Diceros bicornis minor: one gene and its partners. The protein of the gene in region 1 interacts with the protein of each later gene in a pairwise test. Links are inferred from orthologs where the notes say so. Each region holds a gene or a part of one and is shown in the gene's direction. Other genes may lie near its edges. The genes, in order: SH3BP5, TNKS and SOS1.

Region 1 (7,596 bases):
GTCTCCTCCCCCCCCAGCTCCTCAGTGTCCCCGGGTCAAGTTCGCACACACTAGCCACAGTGATTACATGATCGCTCAGAATAAAATCTACACTCCTTACCATGTAAAGGCCCTCCATGGTCTACCCACCTGCAGCTCTCTGACGTCATCTCCCTCGCTCTCCCCCTTGCTGTCTCTGCTCTACCCATGCTGATCTCTGCTTACCCACCCACACCGTGAGCCCATTCCCTTCCCAGGACCTCTGCGCAGGCTGCTCCAGTTGCTGGAGTGATCCTCCCCTACAGGTACGTGTGGTTTGAGCTCTCATTTCTTTCAGGTCTTGGCTCAAAGTGCCCTTCTCGGGGAGGCCTTTGCCATAACCACACCTCGTCTCTCTCTCCGTTCCCTGCTTCGTTTTTGCCCTTAGCACTGATCACCCTGACGTATTATACATTGATTCGTTCATTCCCTCTCTCCTTCTACTAGAATGTAAGCTCCCTGATGGCAGGGAGTTTGTGTCTTTTGTTCGTAGTGGTACCCCTGACTTCTCGTATAGTGTCCAAATCATGTTAACTGCTCAATAAATATTTGTTGGATGAATGAATGGCATCTCATTTTCTACAGTCTGTAGTCCAAAGTTTTTAGCCTGGCATTCAAGGCCCTTGAGGACCTGCCCCAAACTATACTTTAGGCTTCATGCCCTGCTCCTTCCACTCCCCACCGTCCCTTCCTGGGTCCCAAGTCCGGATGATGTCCCGCCTTGCTGTTCCTGACCAGTCCATGATTGGTTCCATGAACCATGGTTCATCGGTTTTGTGGTCCATGAGGGGTTCCACGAACCCCTCCATGATTTCCTCCTGTTTTTTCCCCTATCTGGGAAGCTCTTTCTTTCTTTGGCAAAAACCTTCCTCCCTTGTTTGAGGAAGTTGTGTTTGTTATTCAAGGCCCAGTGTCAGCTTCTCTTTAACCCATCCTGGCCCTGCAGGCAGAACAGTGGGATGACTTCCGTGTTCCTGCCGAGTGTAACATGGCCCTTTTCAGTTGCCAGGAGGGAAAATGCTGCTCCCTTCACCTGGTTGATGGCCAGCACTCTCCCTCCTTCTGCCCTAAACTCAGTCAAGCGCTGTGACATCAGCACGTCGCCTCACTTCCTCTCATTCCTCCACTCTGGGGGGTTCATCAGGGTGGGGCAAAAAGACAAGTTTCTCTATTCACAAAAAGAGCTGAGGAGCTCAAAATGGATTAAAGACTTGAATGTAAGACCTGACACCATAAAACTCCTAGAAGAAAACATAGGCAGTAGACTCTTTGACATCGGTCTTAGCGGTGGCTTTTTGAATACCATGTCTACTCAGGCATGGGAAATAAAAGAAAAAATAAACAAATGGGACTACATCAGACTAAAAAGCTTCTGCACAGCAAAGGAAACCATGAACAAAACGAAAAGACAACCTACCAACTGGGAGAAAATATTTGCAAATCATATATCTGAAGAGAGGTTAATTTCCAAAATATATAAAGAACTCATACAACTCAACACCAAAAAATGGGCAGAGGATATGAGGACATTTTTCCAAAGAAGATACACAGATGGCCAACAGGCACATGAAAAGATGTTCTACATCACTAATTATTAGGGAAATGCAAATCAAAACTACAATGAGATATCACCTCACACCCCTCAGAATGACTGTAATTAACAAGAAATAACAAGTGTTGGAGAGGATGTGGAGAGAAGGGAACTCTCATACACTGCTGGTGGGAGTGCAAGCTGGTGCAGCCAGTTAGAGACCTGCAGGGGTCGCCACCCCAGACCTTTAGAGCTGCTGCTCCAGATCAACATGCCAGCTAAAATAAATATTAAGCATGTATCTGGCTTACAAGCCACTTAACACGGCTTGCCTTCTTAGTATGTGCAGTAGGCAGAATTCTAAGATTGGCCCATTTCCCACCATCCGGTGTATATACTCCTGTATAATTGTAGGAACTTGTGAATAGTTGAGATAGTCATGTCCACGATTAGGTTATGTATGTGGCACAGCTGACTTTAAGAATGGGAGACTTTTCTGGGTGGACCTGACCTAATCAAGTGAACACTTAAAAGGGACTGAGCTCTTCTTGAAGAAGAGACTGAAGTGTAACAGGGATTCAACACAAGTGAGATCTCTGTTGCTGCCTTTGAAAATGGAGGGGGCCACGTGACAAGGAATGCAGGCAGCCTCCAGCAGCTGAGACTGGCCCTTGGCTGACAGTCAGCAAGGAAACGGGCACCTCAGTCCTACAACCACAAGGAACTGAATTCAGCTGATAACCTGAATGAGCTTGGAAGGACTTTTTCCTCAGAGCCTCCAGAAATGAATGCTGTCTGGCCGACACCCTGATTCAGCCTGGGGGACCCTGAGCCCAGAACCTAGTCATGCCGTGCCTGAACCTCAGACCTAGAGAACTATGAGATAATGTGTTGTTTTAAGCTGCTAAATTTGTGGTAATTTGTTACACAGCAATAAAAAACTCATACAGTATGTATTATTTTAAATTTATTCTTAAATTATACAAATAATTATAAATATATCCTCCTTGTAAAAAATGAAAACATTATTGAGAGATTAGAAGTTTCCTCTGACCATCCTAGCCAATCCTGGGCCCCTCCCTACCCCCCTTTCCCAGGGGTAGTACTCTTTGTTGGGTCTGAAGTCCTTCTTCCAGACCTTTTTCTAGGCATTTATGTGCATATATATGTACCAATAGAAAATATATCGTATTGCTGTGGTTTGTTTATTTTCCTTATTTTAACTTCAGATCACTATTGGGATCAACACTATAGCTGGCCAGGTCTCCTAAAAATAAGACAACTAAAATCTGAACTCAAGTTCTAGAGCAGTTTCCCTGTGTCCCATGAAGGCGTTTTGAACCACTCTATTGCGCTTAGATCTAAGTTTAAATAGAAATGTGTTTTAGAGGCAGTTGTTTAGAATGGTGAGGCTGGGGTTCCACCAGCTGAGAAGCATTGAGAGTCAGGGCTGACCTCACATTTCTGGTTTTCCAGCTCAGTCTCAGTGGATTCACAGCTAGGATGAACCTGCTCAGTTATAGGCTCAATTCCCAGCCACCAGGGAAACAATGGTGACTCTTGTGTCCCAAAGTGACCCTAGTGACCATCTTGTCCTGGCCTTCATCCATCAGTAGAAAATCAAAAGCAACAGTCTTTAGCAAGGAACTTCAGAACATCTCTCCAAGAATTGCTGACTCTTCCTTAAAGAACAATGAAGAGGTTTGAACTTTCCAAAACAAACGTATAGCATACACCTATATTATGTCCAGGAGACAGGATGAATCTCTTTTGATGGTGGACCACAGTGCCAGCATATATAGGGTGGTACCTTACCCAAGGAGTAACCCTCTAAATTAGCTTCTGATAAAACCATCAGAAGCAGGTTTTCAAGGTGGCTTAACGATGGGATCTCAGAAAGAAGCTCCTTTCTCAAGCAAGTTTGTCCTCCAAACTCACAGAGCCAATCGGCCGTAAGCCTCTGTGTAGATGTGTACGCTTTCTGCATTTTTGTAGTGAAGGAGACATTAGCAGTGGCCAGTGGCAATGTCCTTGCCTGCTTTGCTAAGGTCATCTGACCTTGTGCTCCCCTGACATCACAGTGGCCATGACATTTCATAACAGCACAGACATGCCCCTTCGTTCTTTGCACTTTAGTGATGTCGAGTTTGCCAGGCAAGCTCTGCCTCCCTACTTACTCAGGGTGGGCAGGAAACCTCACCAGTTCATAAATCCTTGGACAGGGTGTACCCATTAACAGAGGTAACACTTAGCCCCTCCTTGAAAAGACTGTACCCACCCACCCACCCACATCCCTGATCAATGGATTTTCCATGCTTCCTGGCTATTCAGGTAGGACCATGCCACAACACTAACGCACAGCTGTTTGGGTGTGGAGCTCTGCCCAGCGCGGGTCACAAACTTTGGACAAAGAATCCGCGCCTGGAGCTGCAGCTGGCTCCCCTTTCTGTACTTTATGTCAATGTGAGCACGTTACAGTTGCCTTTTCTGGGGAAATCTTCAAGTACATAGATAGAATTCCCAAGATTCAACCAAGGGGAGAAACGTGCTTTGGGTGTATACAGGGGTTTGAGGAGTCTTGAAACTGGCCCAGGGTCACTGAGTACAGGCTTCTAAAGGTGATTTCAGAGACTGGAAATACCCCAAACTTTCCTTCCATACAGTCAATTCGCCTGGGCCGAGGAGGGAGGGAGAAAGCTGCCGGGAGAGTAGGTGGCCAATGTTGGGTGGTTTGTGATATTCGGGCTGCTAAGAAGGGGTGAGGGCTCTCCTATTTCCCCACGCTAGAGGATTTCAGAGGGCTGGGGTTTTTGTGACGGAGGCCTGGGTAACTGGGACCTGCCGAGGAACAGTCGGAGGCGCGCGGAGGGCGGCCCGGCGGGACGAGGGCGGAGCGGGCGCCGCTGCGCTGACAGCCGCGGCAGAAAGGGGGCGGCCGCGCCCATTTCCTCCGCTCCGCCCGCGCCGGACGGATCCGCATCGGCGAGCGGCGCCTCCCGGGTGTCGGCCCCGGCGGCTCCCGACCGTGCCGGGCTGTGGCGAGACAGCTCCGGCCGAGCCTGCGGCGAGTCGCTGCCCCTCCGGACGCTCCGAAGTCCCCCGCGCGGTTCGCATTCCGGCTGCCCGCATGGACGCGGCGCTGAAGCGGGGCCGCTCGGAGGAGCCGGCTGAGCTCCTGCCGTCTGCCCGGGACTTGGAGGAGGAGGAGGAAGAGGGGATGGAGCAGGGGCTGGAAGAGGAAGAAGTGGACCCCCGGATCCAGGTAGGGCGCGCGGGGGGCGCCCCGGATCCCGGCATCTACACTTATACCTGTCCCGCAGCCCCCAGTGCCTGCGTTCCGGGGAGGTGGTGGCCACGTAGGTCTGGGGGCGAGAAGAGAGCGTCTAAATACTCCGTTTCACCTGGTTCATGGGGAGGCTGCAGTGCCCGCGTGGATGCGGCCTGACTCTATTGTGGGGCTCCCCCTCGCAGACCCCTGGCAGGATCCGGGGGTCGCCGCAGCGTGCCCAGCGTTTCGGGCGGATGTGCAACAAAGGGAAAAAGGGGGCGGGGGCGCCATGTGGGTATCGGGGTACCCCCGGCTAGGCTCGCGGCGCCGCAGGCATTGCACGGCTGCCTGGCCCCGGGAGGAGGGGTGGGCCGGCCAGGGTGGGCGCCCGACTCCGTGGGCGGGTGGGCGAGCTGGGCAGGGTGGGCGTTGTCCGCCCCTGCAGCGTGGGCTGGCACCGGTGCCCTGGGTTTGGAGTCCCCACCTGGCGGAGGTGCCCGGCCCGAACCATATTCCTCCTCCTCTGATTCATTGTTAGCAAACTGAAGGGTTTATTGTCACCACTGGCTCAACCCTCCGCTTGGCCTCAGATGCTTTAAAGCCCAGCTTTTCCTTGTTAGGAGGCCGGGTGTGAACAGAAATCAGGGGCAACTGATGCGCAGAGCTGATGCGGGGAGAAGGCGAGGGGATTGGCCTGGCTTTCTGTGCCTCCATTTCTAAGGTAGATGATTAAAAAACAATTTCCAAGCCGAGATCTAGGAGTGACAGTTTAACCTCTTCACCCTCGAAGCAGAAAGCACAGCAAATCCCCTTTCCAAGACTCATTTTTCTACCCTTTCCATAAATCTTTTTTTTTTTTTTTAAATATTGCTTTTAAGCATGCTCTGCAATTTCTGGAGCCCTAATTGGTTTTTCAGTGCACAGGTCAATTAAAAGCTCATTTAATTCAGCTGTTGCTGTTTAAATGCATTGTTTTGGCAGATTAGCAAGATAAAGATCAGGTGGAAAAATCTTTGCATTAGGAATTCTATTTAAAATAATCAGTTTGGACTACTAAATCTTGTTTTCTTGGTACAGGAATTCTGTTAACAAGACCCTTTGTTTGTAGAATAAAATGAGTTAACTTCATGCGGGTACTTTTTACAAAGGTCAGTTTGTACATGTTTATTTAAAAGATCAGGATTAAAGCTAATTTTTTTATTAAAAAAAAAAACCAGCTAGGTAGGTTGAATAATAGGCAGTTTGAAAAGATTTTCATCTGTACAGAAAAATACTCAACTGCTGATGAATCAATGCCAGAATTCTGTCCTTGACTAAATCATTTCATTAGGTTTATACTTTTGGGTTGGCCTTGTTTATTTTCTATCATTGTCTTTTCTGCAAATTCTTGCTCTATGGCAGAAGGTACTGTTTTGATTTGGCCCCTACACCATTTGTAACAGGTGGGTTTACCTGAAGGCACATACCTGGAATAAATATTTGCCCGTTTAAGAGAAGACAAGTTCCTAGGACCTTAAGACATTTTCAAAAGGGACACCATCAAGAAAAAGGCTCCAGATATGCTGCCATTCCTTTGCTCTTCTAGCCAAGGCTTAACTATTTTCCTTGAGAATTATCTGAGTCCTCCCTCTTCCTACAAATTGTCCTGGAGTAATTCTCCAGGTAATGGGCTGAGTCATACCGGAAACAAAAGATGAAGCCCTTAAATCTTTTTTTCTGTCTTTTCTTCCTTAGGGAGAACTGGAGAAGTTAAATCAATCCACGGATGACATCAACCGACGGGAGACTGAACTTGAGGTACAGAAAGCTGGGTCCCTGTTGTTGGTGAGGTGGTGCAGTCCCGCTGACACCAGGCTGGTTAATTTTGTTTTAATAGCTGGCGTCCCCTCCTCGGAGTTGAGCAACAGCCTGCTGTCTGACAGAATAAAATACACCACTGAGCCCAGCTTGTGGGTGGAACACATGTGGATCCAATTTCACATGTTGTTTTTCATCATGGAAGCTCTGTGGGGCCAAAACCAAGAGCTTTACACTCACGGAAGCCCTAAAGTTAACGCGTCTGTGGAAAAGCTGGATGGACTGGGGGGAAAATTAGCTGAACTCTTTAGTGGAGAAGAATGAATGAGCTCATAAAAATCTCTTAAATATTTTAGGGCAGTTCCTTTTTTTTTTTTTTTTTTTTTTTTTTACCTTTCCTGCACTAATAATTCACCCCTTTCCACTTCCCTGCTCATTTCTTTAGTGTCTGCTTGTGTGTGGAATATAATTATCTTAATGGTAAGGAAAAGCTGTTTAGACTGCGAAGAGCTTTCCTGCTGGGAAAAATCTTGGGAGACTAGAAGTTGATTTGAATTTCATGAGCATCTTTCAACCTGAGTGTAAACAGATTAGCATTCTTCACAGCCACCAATTAGTCCCCATCCCTTTTCAGTGGTGGTTGGTTTTACCCCATCAGCAAATATGAACAAACCCTGCATATATCTGAGAGCCTGTGAATAACTCTGTCAGAGAGCTGAAGGAATGCAGGGAGCTGTTGGGAGGACCTGTTTCTGTAGCAGAAGAAATGGTAGGGAAGGTGAACAGGAAGGGCAGGAAACATCTGGTCCCTGGAGTGTGGGAGATAGGAATATAATCTATCATCAATACAATGGCAGCCTTGATTTCTGACTGCATGGCTAGGCCCTGGAGGTACCAAATCTGGAAGTGGCGATGGGGATTAAAAGCTTGCTGCTCCGGGCTGTGTATGAAGGGTTATGCTAACCCATCTATTCTGACTGTA
Region 2 (7,272 bases), on another chromosome or scaffold:
AGTCCGCAACCCCTCAGACAGTCGCAGGGGTCAACGTTCATCGCGGCTCGGCGGGCTGGCCCTATGTTCTGATGGGGGAGGCTGAGCACCCTGGGCCTGCCTCACAATCTATTGGTTTGCAGTTACATCAGCCCTAATCTGATTGGCTACACCCACAGTTACATAAGCCATTACATCATTACAGATGCACTGTTGGCTAGTTACACCCTTCCTTGTCAATACATTCCAGAACTTTCGGAACTTTTCTAACTTGTTTATGACTTTGGGGGAGTAGCAGGTGTTTATCTCTTGTGAGTGAGGAAGCTATATGCTCATCCTTAATGGAGTATATATGTATGATTTCAATTAATTTTGGAAAAAATACTTAAGAAAAGGAATGTTTTTGGTGGGAAAGCTTGTTTACCATTTTTTTAAGTTCAGCAAATAGGTTTTTATTTATCCCTGTTACAATGTAGGATGGGGCATCCTTGAATCACACACAGCAAGTTAGTGACAAAGCTAGGATTCATATCCAAGCAGTCTAAATGCAGAACCCACATTCCTTATATTGCCTCTCTTCCTGGAGCTAACATTTCATGTTGAACTGACTACTCCCAAGCGTACAGACCTTACCAGAAAAATATCCAAGTTATCAGAGGGCAGACTATGGATATCTCGGGAACAGCATCCAGAGGACTCTGCTACGTAAGAGATATTTTAAAGCAACTGAAAATTTCAATGGGGGAATGCTAATAAACTAATATATAGGAGAGTTTTAAATTACTGTAATTTTCCTGCCTTGTAGTAAGTTGTTTTGCTTTTTCTTTTAATAAAACTTTTTCCGATGCAACGCGGTTAGCATGATTGCAGCTGTTGGAATTGTTGCCCAGCTATGGTTTCTAACAGAAGAGTCTCCTGAGTTTCTGGATGGAACTTCAGCTAAAATTTCTCTTAGCTTAGTAATACCTTCATAGCGAAATCGGGCCCTTGGCACCAAGGGCATTTCTGACATAAGAGTAACTTATCCTCTAAGGTCAAGGTGAAGAGACGGCACTGCCTCAGCCAAACTATAGCTCTAGCCTTGTGCTTTTGAATTTGCAGAGGCATTGCACAGAGCATCGAGGAATAAGTGGATTTAGTAGACCCAAGATACTACCAGTGAACTTGGATCTGGGGCAGATCAAAGAGAAGTATACGGATAGAATAACCACACCAAGTCTAATTGAAATATGGAGACCACACAAGTTTGTGATTGCGTAACTTACAAAGTGTGTCCATATGATTGCCACGGGGGAAAAAACAAACACAACACAGTCCAGATGGTGAGCGCTCTTTGAGTTGGTGGCTCTTTCTTTTGTGTCAACAATACGGCTTAAGAGGGTGCTGTGTCCTCACGTTTTTTACCACATGGACATGGGTTTTTTTGAAAACATTTTTGGAAGTGATAAGAGGCTACACAACTATGATCCTCAGCAACAATTCTTGGGGATAGTCAGGGCCAGTATAGAACCTTGAATTTTCAGATGAGGCAACAATTAAACCTGATCTTTCTTTGCTTAAGATTCCTGTTACACGTAAAATGGTGAATATTTATTCCCAGTCACTATCTTTGTCATAAAGGAATTTATGAGGAGATAGCTATCAATAGTGGCTATCAGTTCCCATTAACATTTTATGTATGCCACATAAGAGAATGAAACTAACACTCAAGGAGTGCTTACAAAACACCTAGGTCTTTGTTTTTTTTTTAAACAATATACTTTATTTATTTATATTTTTGTGAGGAAGATCGTCCCTGAGCTAACAACCATGCCAATCCTCCTCTTTTTGCTGGGGAAGACTGCCCCTGGGCTAACACCTATGCCTATCTTCCTCCACTTTATATGGGACGCTGTCACAGCATGGCCTGACAAGCGGCGCCTCTGTGCGCGCCCAGGATCCGAACTGGGGTGCCAGCAGCAGAGCGCGCGCACTTAACTGCTATGCCACGGGCTGGCCCCACCTAGGTCTTTTAATCCTCACAACAATGCTACAATAAAAGCAGAATTTTAGAATAACAGAGCTGAAGCTTATCCACCAAGATTAGCCAACTAGTAATTATCAGAGATGTATTCAAGCCCATGTTGTTTGACTCCAAGCTTTGCTCTTTTCACAAGGGTATAGTGCATCCTTCATGGAATTGTGTCTAGCTGTGAAAGATTAGGTAATGGTATCTGCCCTTTCATGTTTAGAGTTCAACATTTTTAATCCATGTAAACCTAAACCTCATAAATACTTAATGTTAAGTACTTTTACTACTTTCCACTGGAGGGGAAAAAAGCAATTTCTAATTGATCGAACGCATTTTCAGACATACTGTACCAGTAGAGTAGTTTAAGGCAATTCAGCCTTTTTACCTCTATCCAGCAGAAATTTTCGGTACAAATTTATTTTGTACTGATAAACAAACACAATAGATGCATTTTGAATTAGGGTGAATATTACTACTTCTTCTTGTGATTTATGAGTAACTGGCCATCAGGGGACCGGGTGAGATCATTCCTTATGCCTCCCCATTAAGGGAGAAGGCTGTAGTCAAGACCGCACAAGGTGAGTTATGGACATCTAATGTATCTTGTTGATTTACCCCCACTCCTCAATGCTATCCTGTGCTGTGCATTAATTTAAGATTCAGAACCAGGAGAATGTGTGTTGTAGACAGATTTTAGTTGCACTGATGGAGTTTTCCTATCCAGCCACAGATCTGTTAATTTCTGAATTAACAATGACACAAATTTATAAAACAGGTGGATAATGTTAGAGTTATAATCTGTAACCCCACATTAGGTGACAATAAATGTCACTCATAATATTAACTATGTTCCTGACCTTGTATTTAGAGGGTAGTCCTAAATAAACTGATTTATTTAGAGGGGAATATTAACATCACACTAATTATATTTAATAATGAACATGTGAAACCACAATTTATCACCTGGTTCAATATTCTACAATGCTAACTTTTTACTTGGCCCATCTAAATCTTGTATTTTTCTTAAGACAGAATCTCTGTCTCTGTCCACTCTATTGGAATAGTGCTGTTTGTCTAAACTGCCACATTGCCTAGTTTACTTTATTTAACAGCAGGCAGGAAATGGAGACCTCACTGAGATCATACCATGCACTGATACATCTCTTTTGATGGCAGACAAAAAAAGTAGATATAGGCAGAGGGAAGAGAGAAAAAGTAGTCGTTGAAGAATGGCATCTAAAGGTAAGTGATGAATAGTAGTCAGGTTTTTATTGTAGTTTGGGAGGGGACAGAAGAGGGGTGAGAGGAATGGAGGAGAAGAGAGGTTCAGCTAAAAATAATTCAAAAGAAAGGAACATTCCACTTATTTGAGTCAAGCTTAAGGGGAGAAATAAAAGTACAGAGATAATAGAATAGAATAAAACATAATTTTAATAGTTAATTATTGAACTATTAATTCGATTTTGCAGAGGGGAACTTGATACACAGAGTGGTTAAATAGCTTGTTCCAATTTACACAGCTAGTATATGGCAGAGCTTGAATTCCAATCCTGGCAATCTGAACCACTATTTTAAAATGGAGTATTAACAAAGTACATAGAGTCAAAAAATTTACAGACTGGGGACATAGAGACCAAGGAAATAACCGGGGGCGGGGGGGGGGGGGGAGGGAGACTGCATTTAAAAAAACCAATGGGCTAAATATAGGGTTAGAGCGCTTTGTATACATTAGATTATTTAATTCCGCTAACAATTCTATGAGGTAGGTACTATTCCATTTTTCAGACGAGGACACTTGATAGATGATAAAGGATATCTCTTCCTGCCCTCAGTTACATCTCAGTAGCTGGCTCTGGAGCAAGATAAGGAAGACTGAAGGAGACTTGGCAACAGAACAGAGCAGGGCAAGGTAAGCAAGCTGAAAGCGAGAAATGCAGGAAAATTTCCCATTTAGGCAGAGGCTAGTTCCAGGTTTCAAATTTCCCCAGCCGGCCCGCCAAGGCGTCACAGAGCCCGCCCCTAAGTCACAAAGCCACGCCCCCTTCTCTGGCCGTTCTGTGAGCTCCCAAGGCTTCCCTCCTTCTCTTTGACCCCGCCCACTCCGCCTAGCATCATTTCCTGTGCGCTGGGTGCTGATTGGTCCCGCCGTCGGAAGTGAGGGCGGGCGGTGGGGCCGTTGCCGCAGTGACAGTGCTGGGGGAGTCCGAAGATGGCGGCGTCGCGTCGCTCTCAGCATCATCACCACCATCATCAACAACAGCTCCAGCCCGCCCCAGGGGCTTCGGCGCCGCCGCCGCCACCTCCCCCGCCCCTCAGCCCCGGCCTGGCCCCGGGGACCACCCCAGCCTCCCCCACGGCGGGTGGCCTGGCCCCCTTCGCCTCCCCGCGGCACGGCCTAGCGCTGCCGGAGGGGGATGGCAGTCGGGATCCGCCCGACAGGCCCCGATCCCCGGACCCGGTTGACAGTACCAGCTGTTGCAGTACCACCAGCACAATCTGTGCCGTCGCCGCCGCTCCCGTGGTCCCGGCGGTTTCTGCTTCATCTGCCGTCGGGGTCGCTCCCAACTCAGCCGGCGGTGGTAGTAACAATTCACCGTCGTCCTCTTCTTCCCCGACTTCTTCCTCCTCTTCCTCTCCATCCTCCCCTGGATCCAGCTTGGCAGAGAGCCCTGAGGCGGCCGGAGTTAGCACCACAGCAACCTTGGGGCCTGGGACAGCGGGACCTGGGTCAGGGGTCCCAGCAGTGAGCGGGGCCCTACGGGAACTGTTGGAGGCCTGTCGCAATGGGGACGTGTCCCGGGTAAAGAGGCTGGTGGACGCGGCAAACGTGAATGCTAAGGACATGGCCGGCCGGAAGTCTTCTCCCCTGCACTTCGCTGCAGGTCAGAGACTTTTGAATTGTTTATTAAGGGTTTTGGTGTTGGGGACGGGGGTCGGGGTAGGGAAAGAAAATAAGTTATTATGATGGAACAAAATGGGGGCGTGGTTATGGCTCTTCAACACCTCACCGGAAAATTAGAGGTTCCTTTCTTTAGATAGTGCCTGGGTGATGGGGGCGTGGTGGGGGCATGTGTGAATCCATTCTTTTTAGTGTTTGTACAGCGTTACTTGTTCTCATTCCCAAACTCCTTTAGTGGTAATCTCTGGGTATTGGTATACTTAAACTTTTTCAGTTCCGCGTGTGTAGGAATAAAGTTAGGTTTGAGCAGTCTTAGAGTAGTTTCGTAGTTTGTTTGCTAGTTTATTTCATTTTTGCAAGAAAAATATGTCCCATGAGGACAGTCGAGACCAAAAGAAGTTTAATGTAACTCAGCAAGTGTTTAAGGATCTATCGTATATCGTAGTCTTAGTAAGCCAATAGAAGACATAAATGAAGTTGTGAAACTTTTCCCCTTTCTCAGGGATTTTTCACTCTAATTGGGTAGATCAAAATATGCTTATATGAAACAACTGGAGAAGAATATTTGGATGCATTATGTGATGGCAAAAGAAATACAGGTTTGGAAGTTCTGGGCGCTGCTATTTGTTGTCTAACAGGCAATCTCAGTTGCCTCGGTTTTCTCATGGGCAACAATGATATACTAAGGTTGAGTGATGATTTAGTGAGAAGCGTCTGGCACATAAGTTCTTCAGAAAAAATGCTAATTCCTAAACCCTGGACCACACACTTTTGTCTTTTTCTTTTTTGAATAAGTAGTTGACCAGTTTCTTTTAAAAACATCTAATATATTTTTATAAAAATACAGAGAAATATAAAACAAAAACAGAGGACCATAATCTCACTGCCCAGATATCTACTATTGATATTTTAAAAAATAAAAGTAATAATGTTATATACATTAGAAATGTATGTTATATATACATTATAAAGTTTGTATAGGACAGAAATATACAAAATGAAAAAGCCCCCCAACCCGCACGAATCAAAGATAACACGCCAAAGATACCTTCTGTAAATTTTCTTGCTATGTTTCTAATATATATATCACTTCTTCAATTTGTTCTGTTAATAGTAAAACATATATTAATAATTTATTATCTGTATTATTTATTTTTACCACAACTTGGAAGATATTATTATTCTCATTTTACAGATGCCAAAGTGAAGCACATACATATCTTCAGGTTCACAGAGCAAGTAGTGGAACCTGAATTTGAACTCAGTTTGATTTTAGAGCTTGTGAAATCAAGCTTAAACTGTTCTAATCTATACCTGGGTTAAGGTCACTTTTCATTTTTGTGAGTAATTGTGATGGAGGGTTTCTACTTTCGCAGTGTTTTGGGGGAAGACGTAATTGGGGCCATATACTCCAAGAGGAGCGTTCACACATTTTTTATTGCAGCCCAAACTTGGAAATATATTTTACATTGTCACACACTCACACAAACTTAATCAAAAGTTTTAGGAAACCATGCTTTCCCTTACTACATGTGTTGTATTGCGATATTTTATATCCTAGTCCATTGTGCTTTTTACAAATGCTGTTTGTGATCCATTAATGGGTCATCAGCAATATGAGAAACACTTACAGGAAATCATTATTAGATCACTGGATCTGTACTTGATATCTAGACACTACTATTAGGAAAGTGGTGAATTGAATCATAAACAGGCTTACATCTAAGTAGATATTTGCTCAAGGGTATTGCTTATTTTAGGTGAAATAGCATGTTTTTCTTTAGGCCAAATGAAAAGCCTAAGTCTGATATTACAAATCAACCGAAGTTGTTTACTTTTGCATACTTTATTCCAAATTTGACTGTTTTAACACATTGTTTCACAAATCTCGTCATTCCTCACTATACTGCATTATAAGTGATCACTAACAGATGATAGTTAGTTATATTTAGTTGAGTAATAATGTACTTATTTAGGATTAGTCACACATAAAATCGTGCTTGTCTCCCAAGTCACGCCACAATAGTTTTTATTCTGCTTTAGAGTTTTATGTGTACCCAGATAAGCTAGAAGACACACAGTGAAACAGTCTTGTAATTATGTTGTAGTTATGAGAACCTAACCTTGAACTGGCTTTTTTAGAGAAAAAATTCTTTTTAGTTCAATTGTGGAAAACAGACAACAGTAAAACTCTCCATGGTCTAAAAACATAACACCCTGTAGTCAATTTACTATACTTGCATGTTTGTGTACATAGCATTAAAGCTTTGTTAAATCTAGTCTTCTCCACATGAGTAGGGCTGAGTAATTAAAAGTAATTGTCAGTTGTTGACTGTTAGTTGGTTGAGATGCTAGTCATTGAATTGTCATGAAATAGCTGTTT
Region 3 (7,552 bases), on another chromosome or scaffold:
ATATGTGGAAGATAAAGCAACGACAACAACAACAAACACACACATAGACCCACAGAATAAATTGGTGGTTACCAGAGGGGAAGGAGAGAGAGGGAGGCTGAAAGGGATAAAAGGGCACATGTGTATGGTGACAGATGGCCATTAGACTTTGTGTGGTGAACACAGTGAAGTCTACACAGAAGTCAAAATATAATGATGTACACCTGAAATTTATATAATGTTATAAACCAGTGTTACCTCAAAAATTAAATTAAAAAATATTTTAAAAAAGAGGGAGAGGGAGGGAGGGAACCAAAGTATTAACTAAAGGTGCTAAAGGGTGCGTATCCAGTGGTTTTATCAGCCACTATTTTCTCTGGTGTATTTTCTGGGGACATCCTGTTTCGAGAAGTGGAATTGCAAGTAGGGATTGGGAAGAAAGGGTGAGGAGAAGCATGAAGGGAAGATAAGCTGCTGGAAGAGAGAGGACCTTGACTTTGCTAATGGCTGAAACTGCTGTTTCTTATGCCTGTTTAAGGGGAGGCATCCTGAATGGGGCCTGAGAAAGTCTTCAGAGAGAAGGTGACATTTGAGCTGGGGGCGACAGCGTGGATGCGAGTTCCACGGTGAGCGTGTACATGGGCGGTGAGGTGCAGCTGTGGCGGGTGGGATTGGACAAAAACGGTTATTGGCATTCCCGGCAGACGGAACAGCATATGTAGGCAACAAAGACGAATAGAAATGATGGGTTTATGGGAGGCAATAGTAGTTCATTTCCAGTGAGAGAGATATCTGGGAAGATAAGTAGTGGCCCTATTGTGTAAGGCCATGAATACCAAGCAAAGGACTTTGGACTTCATCTTGGGATGGCAGTGGAGGCTCTTGAACAGGAGAGTAACCGGATCTGAAGTTTGCTTCAGGGAGATGATTGTGGCGGCAGCGAAGGAGGCAACCCTGTGACTGCTGGGGGCGGCGGCGTGGGGAAAAGAGCGGAGTGCTGCGCTCCCACCTGCAGGGGGCGCGCCAACGGACCGAACGCCCTCCCCGCCCCCTTCCCTGCTGCCCGGGTTCTGACGCTACGCGCTCGGAACTCGGCTAGCCCGCCTGGACGTGCTCATCTCGGGCCTCGGCTAGTCCGCCTGGACGCGCCCCCCGTGCGTCACGTCCGCTCTGGCTCCAGGCTCCTTAGAGCTGAGTAGGGGCGCGAACAGAACCTCTGCGCCTGCGCCGCGGGGCAATAGTCGGCGGTTAACGCTGAGGGGCCCAGGGAGCTTTCCTGGCTTCCGTAGAACGTATCTGAGTCCGCCACAGTTGTCTTCTCTCGCTGCACGCTTGTAGGTGTTTTCATTTGTCCCAAGAGATATAGGCAAACGATGCAGAGGAGCTCGACTGCTCCCTGACCTTAGCGGCGCCGAGGTCAGCACCACTCCCCTTTGGTTGCTCAGCTCAGAAGCGCCGAGTCTCTTCTCTGCAATTTCCCTCCAGCTGCTTGCTCTCAGTCTGCGGCCAAAAAGTCCATACTAGTGAGAACCTGCCCCGGCTGCTAAGCGCGCCCAGCCCAGCGTGTAATCCATGTTTCTAGGGCTTGTTTACCTCTGCAGTCACATCAGAGACTCGAAGTTGAAGGGGACCTTGGAGGTCATCACGTCCAACCTCTTAACCCTTCCCGACATCCCGAGTGAGTGAATGTACGGTTTTTACTTGCACACCTCCGAAGATCGCCCGTTTCCCGAGACAACTCCGATTAGGTAGTCTTCCTGGAAGTTTCCTCCATCCAACTTTTATGTGTCCACTTTAGTTCATCATCATATCCCTAGGACCTACACTACTTGGCACACAGTAGGCGCTTGATAAATATTTTTGAAGGAATAAGATTGTTGATCTCTTGGAGTTTTCCATTCTACTGGGGGGCAACCAACAACTAAAAATAGTTAGAGGCCGTGATTTATGCGAGCAAGGAAATAAGCGGAGGCTTATGGTAGAAATACATAGGTGGGAACTACTTGGTGTGATCAGTGTGGCCTGTTGGAGGTGGTGACGTTTGTAACCAGCCAAGTGAACAGTTAGGAGCAGAGAGAGTTCCGGGCTGGGGGAAGATCAAAGCCCTCGAGGCAGGAAAGATGTTGGTGTTTTCTAGGAATAGACAGAAGGCCAGTGTGACTGCAGTGTGGTGAGCCAGGATTGAGAATGGTGAGAAAAGGTTGAGAATGTAAACAGGAGCCAGATGCAGGCTTGTGGGCCATGGTGAGTAGTTTGAAAGGTATTCTAAGAAGAATGGGAAGCCCAAGAAGGATTTGGGGCGGAAGCTTGATCTTAGTTCATTGGTTTAGAACCACACAAACCATATCATATATGGTTTTTCTATGTTACAGTCTTTTAGATATTTAGAGATGTCTGACATGTTTTCGTGAGACCCATTTTTCTGTCCCCAACTCCTCTCAAAGCTGTAGTTCCTCTACCTCTTCTTACCCAGAGGTAAGAAAAAAAATGGATAATTTTCAAAATGTCATTCTGAACACTTTGAAAGCATGGAGAATTTTTAAATGTAAATCATGTGTGTACATTTTTAAAGAAAAGGACCTAAGACTTATGAGATTCTCCAAGAGGTCTTGTAGAGATTACCACTGCTTAAACATTTCTCCTCTATGTGATCCTGTTTTTTTTGTTTTTTTTTTTGAGGAAGATCAGCCCTGAGCTAACATCTGTGCTAATCCTCCTCTTTTTGCTGAGGAAGACCTGCTCTGAGCTAACATCTATTGCCAATCCTGCTCCTTCCCTCCCTCCCCAAAGCCCCAGTAGATAGTTGTATGTCATAGTTGCACATCCTTCTAGTTGCTGTGTGTGGGACACGGCCTCAGCATGGCGGGAGAAGTGGTGCCTGGGTGCACGCGGGGGATCCGACTCTGGCGCTGCCGGTGGCGCACTTAACCGCTAAGCCAGGGGGCCCGCCGGGTATGTGATCCTGGTTATCATTCTCTGGAATAGCAGGGTACTATGTCAACTTCAATCCAGGCTCATCCTCTAAACTGTCTTCTCATCTGTGAAATGAAAACAATAGGATTGCTATGAGGATTAAATGAGATTATGTTCAAAAAGTGCTTAATGGTAAACCATGAGGAGCCGGCCACACATGACCACTCTTATAAACACCTGCATCCCTGGGATGGAGGAAGAGTTTAGATAATGCTCCTTTGGCATTCCACAAACATTCACTAAGTGCCTATTCTGTGTAGAACCCCTAGTGAAAAATATCTGCCTTCCAGCAGTTTATCTAGTTGAAAGAGCCAGGAGAGGTACAAAACATAATAAACCAAATGCTCTGAGAGGGGCATGAGTAAAGTGATCTGGGAACTGCAAGAGATCTCAATTTCCACTGGAAGTAGGTGGTTATTGGAGTTCATATTTGAAGTGGGTTTGAAAGATGAACATATTGAATCTAAAAAACACACAAAATCAATACTACACGTACACATTTTATTCTTGGTGATGTGGAAAGACAGATTGGAAACATTGCAATCACTTCCATTATCCGACAAATACTGAGCAGTAGGTTTCGTGAGAAAGGCACCTATCTTTTGTCCAGTCTGTTTACTATACATTGCATGCTCTGGGCAGTCCTTATCTTCATGTTCAGGAACAAAGTACACAAATACACACCCCTTTCCGAAACGAAAGGTCTAGGCACTCCAAGAGAGGGGTGGGATCTCTCGCGGCCCAACCACACAATGGGGGCCGCTTCCCCGTAGCTCTCACCCCGCCCCCCCCACGCCCCCCCATCTCGCAGGCCCCACTCAGGCAGGGTTCGACTTATCCGGGCCCTTTCGCTCCTCCCCTGCAGCCCCGGGGGGCGCAGCCACGGCCCGGCGGGGCGTCCTCCCTCACTCGCGCTTCCCTCCTCCTTCGCCGGGGAGCCGGAAAACCCGGAGCGAACCGGCCCTGCCCGGCGGCGCATGCTCAGTAGCGAGCAGGTTCAGTTCGCTAGTAGGAAGCTCGAGCGCTACACCGGCGTCGGCGGCGGCACCTTGGGGCAGGCAGATTCCCCAGCACCGACCTCGGGCCCGTCCTCTCCCCCGCCAGACCCCGGCCCCAGCTCCGCCCCGCCGCGCCCGGGGTCGCTCGCTCATCGGGGTTCCCGCGGCGCGGAGCGTGCGCCGCGGCCGGAGCGTCTCTCCACAAGCTCTTCCCCAGCCGCGGGCTCCGCCGCGGGGCCAGGCCGGGCCCGAGCGCGCAACCCCGGCAGCCGGGCGGGCGGCGGCCGCGGCGGAGGGCAGCCCGGGGCGGCGCCGGAGGGCCGGGGAGGGTTGGGGGGGCCCGGCCCCGGGGCGGTGGTGCGGGATGCCGCCGCCGCCGCCTCCGGGCTGCGTTCGCTCTCCGCGGCTGGTGCCCGTGTCGGGTGGCTGGCCGGGCGCGGGCCTCGCCCCGCAGCCCCCTCTCCAGGGCTAGCCCGGCCGCGCGGCGCCCCGAGGGGGCCGGGCCGTCCAGTGGGGCCGCGGCCCTGTTCCGCGCTGCGAGCTCGCCCTCTCGCGGCTCCCCGGCCCGGCCGCCGCCGCCCCTCTCCCCGCCCAGAGGCGCCCCGGGGGCACCATGCAGGCGCAGCAGCTGCCGTACGAGTTTTTCAGCGAGGAGAACGCGCCCAAGTGGCGGGGGCTGCTGGTGCCGGCGCTGAAAAAGGTGAGGAGCGCGCGGGAGCCCGCTTCCCCGCTGCAGCCCCTGCGAGGGCGCCGGGCCGGGCCGGGGCAGGGCTGGGGAGGCGGGGCGCGCGCGGGGCCGTCTTTCTTCTCGGTCTCGCCGCCTCCGCGAAAGGACGGCGCCCACTGAGCGGTTCCCCCGCACGCGCTGCCTCCCGGGGTTGACGTTCACCCGGTGTGGGGGAAGGCCGCAGGAGGCCGGGGAGAGTTTGTCCGGATAATCAACCCCTGAGAGTCCTGCTCCTGCTTCAGAGACGAGAGTTGGAGGAGCCTCAGTTTTCAGTGGAGGTCAAAGCAGGCCACTTTTCCGCCTTCTCGGTCTTACCCGGAGCTGCTGTCAGCCTCCGTTTTAGGTGTCCAGTCTGCTCGTTTTAGTGGGCTCGAGAATGCTCTGGCCATAATGCTTGCTCTAAGTAATTGCAGAGCTCGCCTGCCAGCAGGAACATGGCCTGCTCTGCTCGCCCTCGGTAATCACTCTTCATTCCTCTGAATTCCCTCGCTCCTCCGATTAACCGGGGTGGGTGCACATGCCGCTATTTTCTTTCTTTTCTTTTTGTGAGAGTCTGAGAATCTTGGTGCTGTCATTCGTTTTGTTGATTAGAATTTTCAACCTGGCTGTGTTCCTTCAAGTTTGCCACATTGTTACCTCAAGTTAAATACCTTGTGATCTGTATTTTTAAATGTTTTAGTATAATTAGGAAATGTTGCTACATTTTAAAAGCTTCTAAAGCAACATTGTGAGTTAATTCAGAAACTTGTGTGTTTGAATGAACATAAAAACAACCAGAGTATTTTTTGTTTCCCTTTTACCTTTTCTATAAATATAGGATTGCTTTACTCTTTTAATAGTGTTTCTACATCCCAATTTTTTGTTCCTCAAACAATGTTTCATGTTATCTGGTTAAAATATATTCTGCTGAGAGTTGAGATTATGGTGTACCTTTTGTTCTAAACATTTATACTTTTGAAAACTGTGTCTTAAATGGTGTCTGATATTTCTCAAAGGCCAGCAACTTTTACTTTCCATTTTGTCCTGTCCTCCCTGTCTCCCTCTTGGTATTTTACAGAGGAAAATATTTGGTTTGTTAGCAGAAACTGGTCATATATTTCAGATATAAGTTACTGACTTTTTTCCTCAGGTGTCTGACTAGTCACAAACGTCTCTGTGATATTGTTTTCTAGGAAAATCAAAGAGATGCCATATACTGTATATACTTTATTCATTAGTAATCCCGTCAGGCTTTCACGCTATTTAGTTTTGCTTTACCTGCAAACTTGACATCTTAGCTTGTAATAGAAGGGTAGTAGGAGGTCTCAGTGATGCTGGAAGCAGGTATCCTGACCTAGGTGGGGCCGCGGTGGGGAGGAGACAGAAAAATTGTTGAAAACATACAAAAGAACTCATAAAACACTACCAGTTTGGGGCTATTTTGTTTAGAAGCAAGCATATCCTATCCCAGAGTAAACACCAACGTACCCATCAGTTGAGGGTCCTATGAAGTAGTGGAAAGAGCGTTGTAGGAGTTGGCAGACCAGATGTAACTCTGCCACACGTAGACTGATAAATGCAGCAAGACTCAAGATGGCCCTTGCTGAAATCTATCCACAGAAGCATTTTGTTTGGCTGGCATGGTGTTGTTTTATTTTTAATGTAATTAGTTGCCGATATTTAAAAATGGGAGATATTACATAAAATCTGAATTTTCAGCTTTTCTTGAAGAATAGGAGGATCTCTCCACATTGGGCCTGCATTCAAGCAAGGCAGTAAACTGCTGGAGCTGAGGAAATGACTGTCCTCTTTAGACATGGCACATCTCTTCAATTTACACAGTCCCCACCAGTCCTCTGCTTATTTACATAACCCAGCTTTGACTTTAAGCAGAGATACCCTTGTATAACAGTAAAAGTGATGAGAGGAGGTGGAATCTAGCTGATATGTAAGGTTCTCCAAATTCTTATTTAAAATATCCACTAATGATAATTCTAAGCCACCTAAGACAAGGTTGAAAATATATTTCATATCTGGATGTGCTCTTGGTAGCTCAAAACCTGCATTTTTACCTGCCTGCTAGACATTTCATGTGGATATCTACTATCTTGAACTCTTCTTTTGGGCTTGCTGCAGTATTTGCAGATGTGCCCAACTTGTGTTATCTTACCTGAGGCTCTTTGGACATGCTCTTCTCTTCACCTGGATTGCCCTTAGCCTGGTCTAACACTTCTCACCCTTCTAGACTCGCTCGTCCTCAGATCTTTCCTCAAATCCTTGGGGCCGAGTTGGATAATCTTTTTAAATTTTCTTTTAGCACCCTAACCTAGTACTTAACAATGATTTTTAAGTTCCTATTTACTTGTCCTCCCCCCTCCCCAACTAGATTGAATGGTCCTTGAGAACAGGGATGATATTTTACCCTCCGTTGATACAGTGCCTGACACCTAGTAGGCACTTAAGTTTGAACGAATGGGTGAGGGAATACCCAACTAAAACCATCACCTCCCTGCCCTCCATCTTCTGTTTAAAAATTTCCCCTCTTGATTAATGGCTTTATTTTATTTGACTGGTTCAAAACTTTGGAGTCGTCTTGGACTTCTCTCTTTTGCATTACGGCCCACATCCAGGCACAGCCTGTAGATTTATTCCACTTTGACATGTTCTTCTAATCTATTCCCTCCTACTCCAACTGCTCTGAGTCCCCTTTCCCAGACTGCTGTGATAACCTCTTAACTGAGTTCACTGCCCCTCACCTCTCCTTTATCAATTTTTCAAATTTCAGAAGTTATAGTACACTTCTGAACACGTCACACTCTTGTTCAGAACCGTTGATGTCTTTTGAGGGCATAGGATGAAGTTCACAATCTTTAGTTTGGAATCGATGGTGAGCAGT

The links.
Region 2: the proteins of SH3BP5 (region 1) and TNKS interact in a two-hybrid assay, tested with the Homo sapiens proteins (2 studies listed by BioGRID and IntAct). The link is inferred for Diceros bicornis minor from reciprocal best matches to the Homo sapiens genes SH3BP5 and TNKS.
Region 3: the proteins of SH3BP5 (region 1) and SOS1 interact in a two-hybrid assay, tested with the Homo sapiens proteins (2 studies listed by BioGRID and IntAct). The link is inferred for Diceros bicornis minor from reciprocal best matches to the Homo sapiens genes SH3BP5 and SOS1.

Annotation. Positions count from the first base shown.
Region 1 is NC_080741.1:21,849,917-21,857,512, reverse strand, and holds the start of SH3BP5 (SH3 domain-binding protein 5), read left to right. Parts: upstream 1-4,554; 5' UTR 4,555-4,676; coding exon 4,677-4,811; intron 4,812-6,551; coding exon 6,552-6,614; intron 6,615-7,596. UniProt on the Homo sapiens protein: Functions as a guanine nucleotide exchange factor (GEF) with specificity for RAB11A and RAB25. Inhibits the auto- and transphosphorylation activity of BTK. Plays a negative regulatory role in BTK-related cytoplasmic signaling in B-cells.
Region 2 is NC_080768.1:26,951,072-26,958,343, forward strand, and holds the start of TNKS (poly [ADP-ribose] polymerase tankyrase-1), read left to right. Parts: upstream 1-4,181; 5' UTR 4,182-4,199; coding exon 4,200-4,872; intron 4,873-7,272.
Region 3 is NC_080751.1:45,264,448-45,271,999, forward strand, and holds the start of SOS1 (son of sevenless homolog 1), read left to right. Parts: upstream 1-4,496; 5' UTR 4,497-4,563; coding exon 4,564-4,650; intron 4,651-7,552.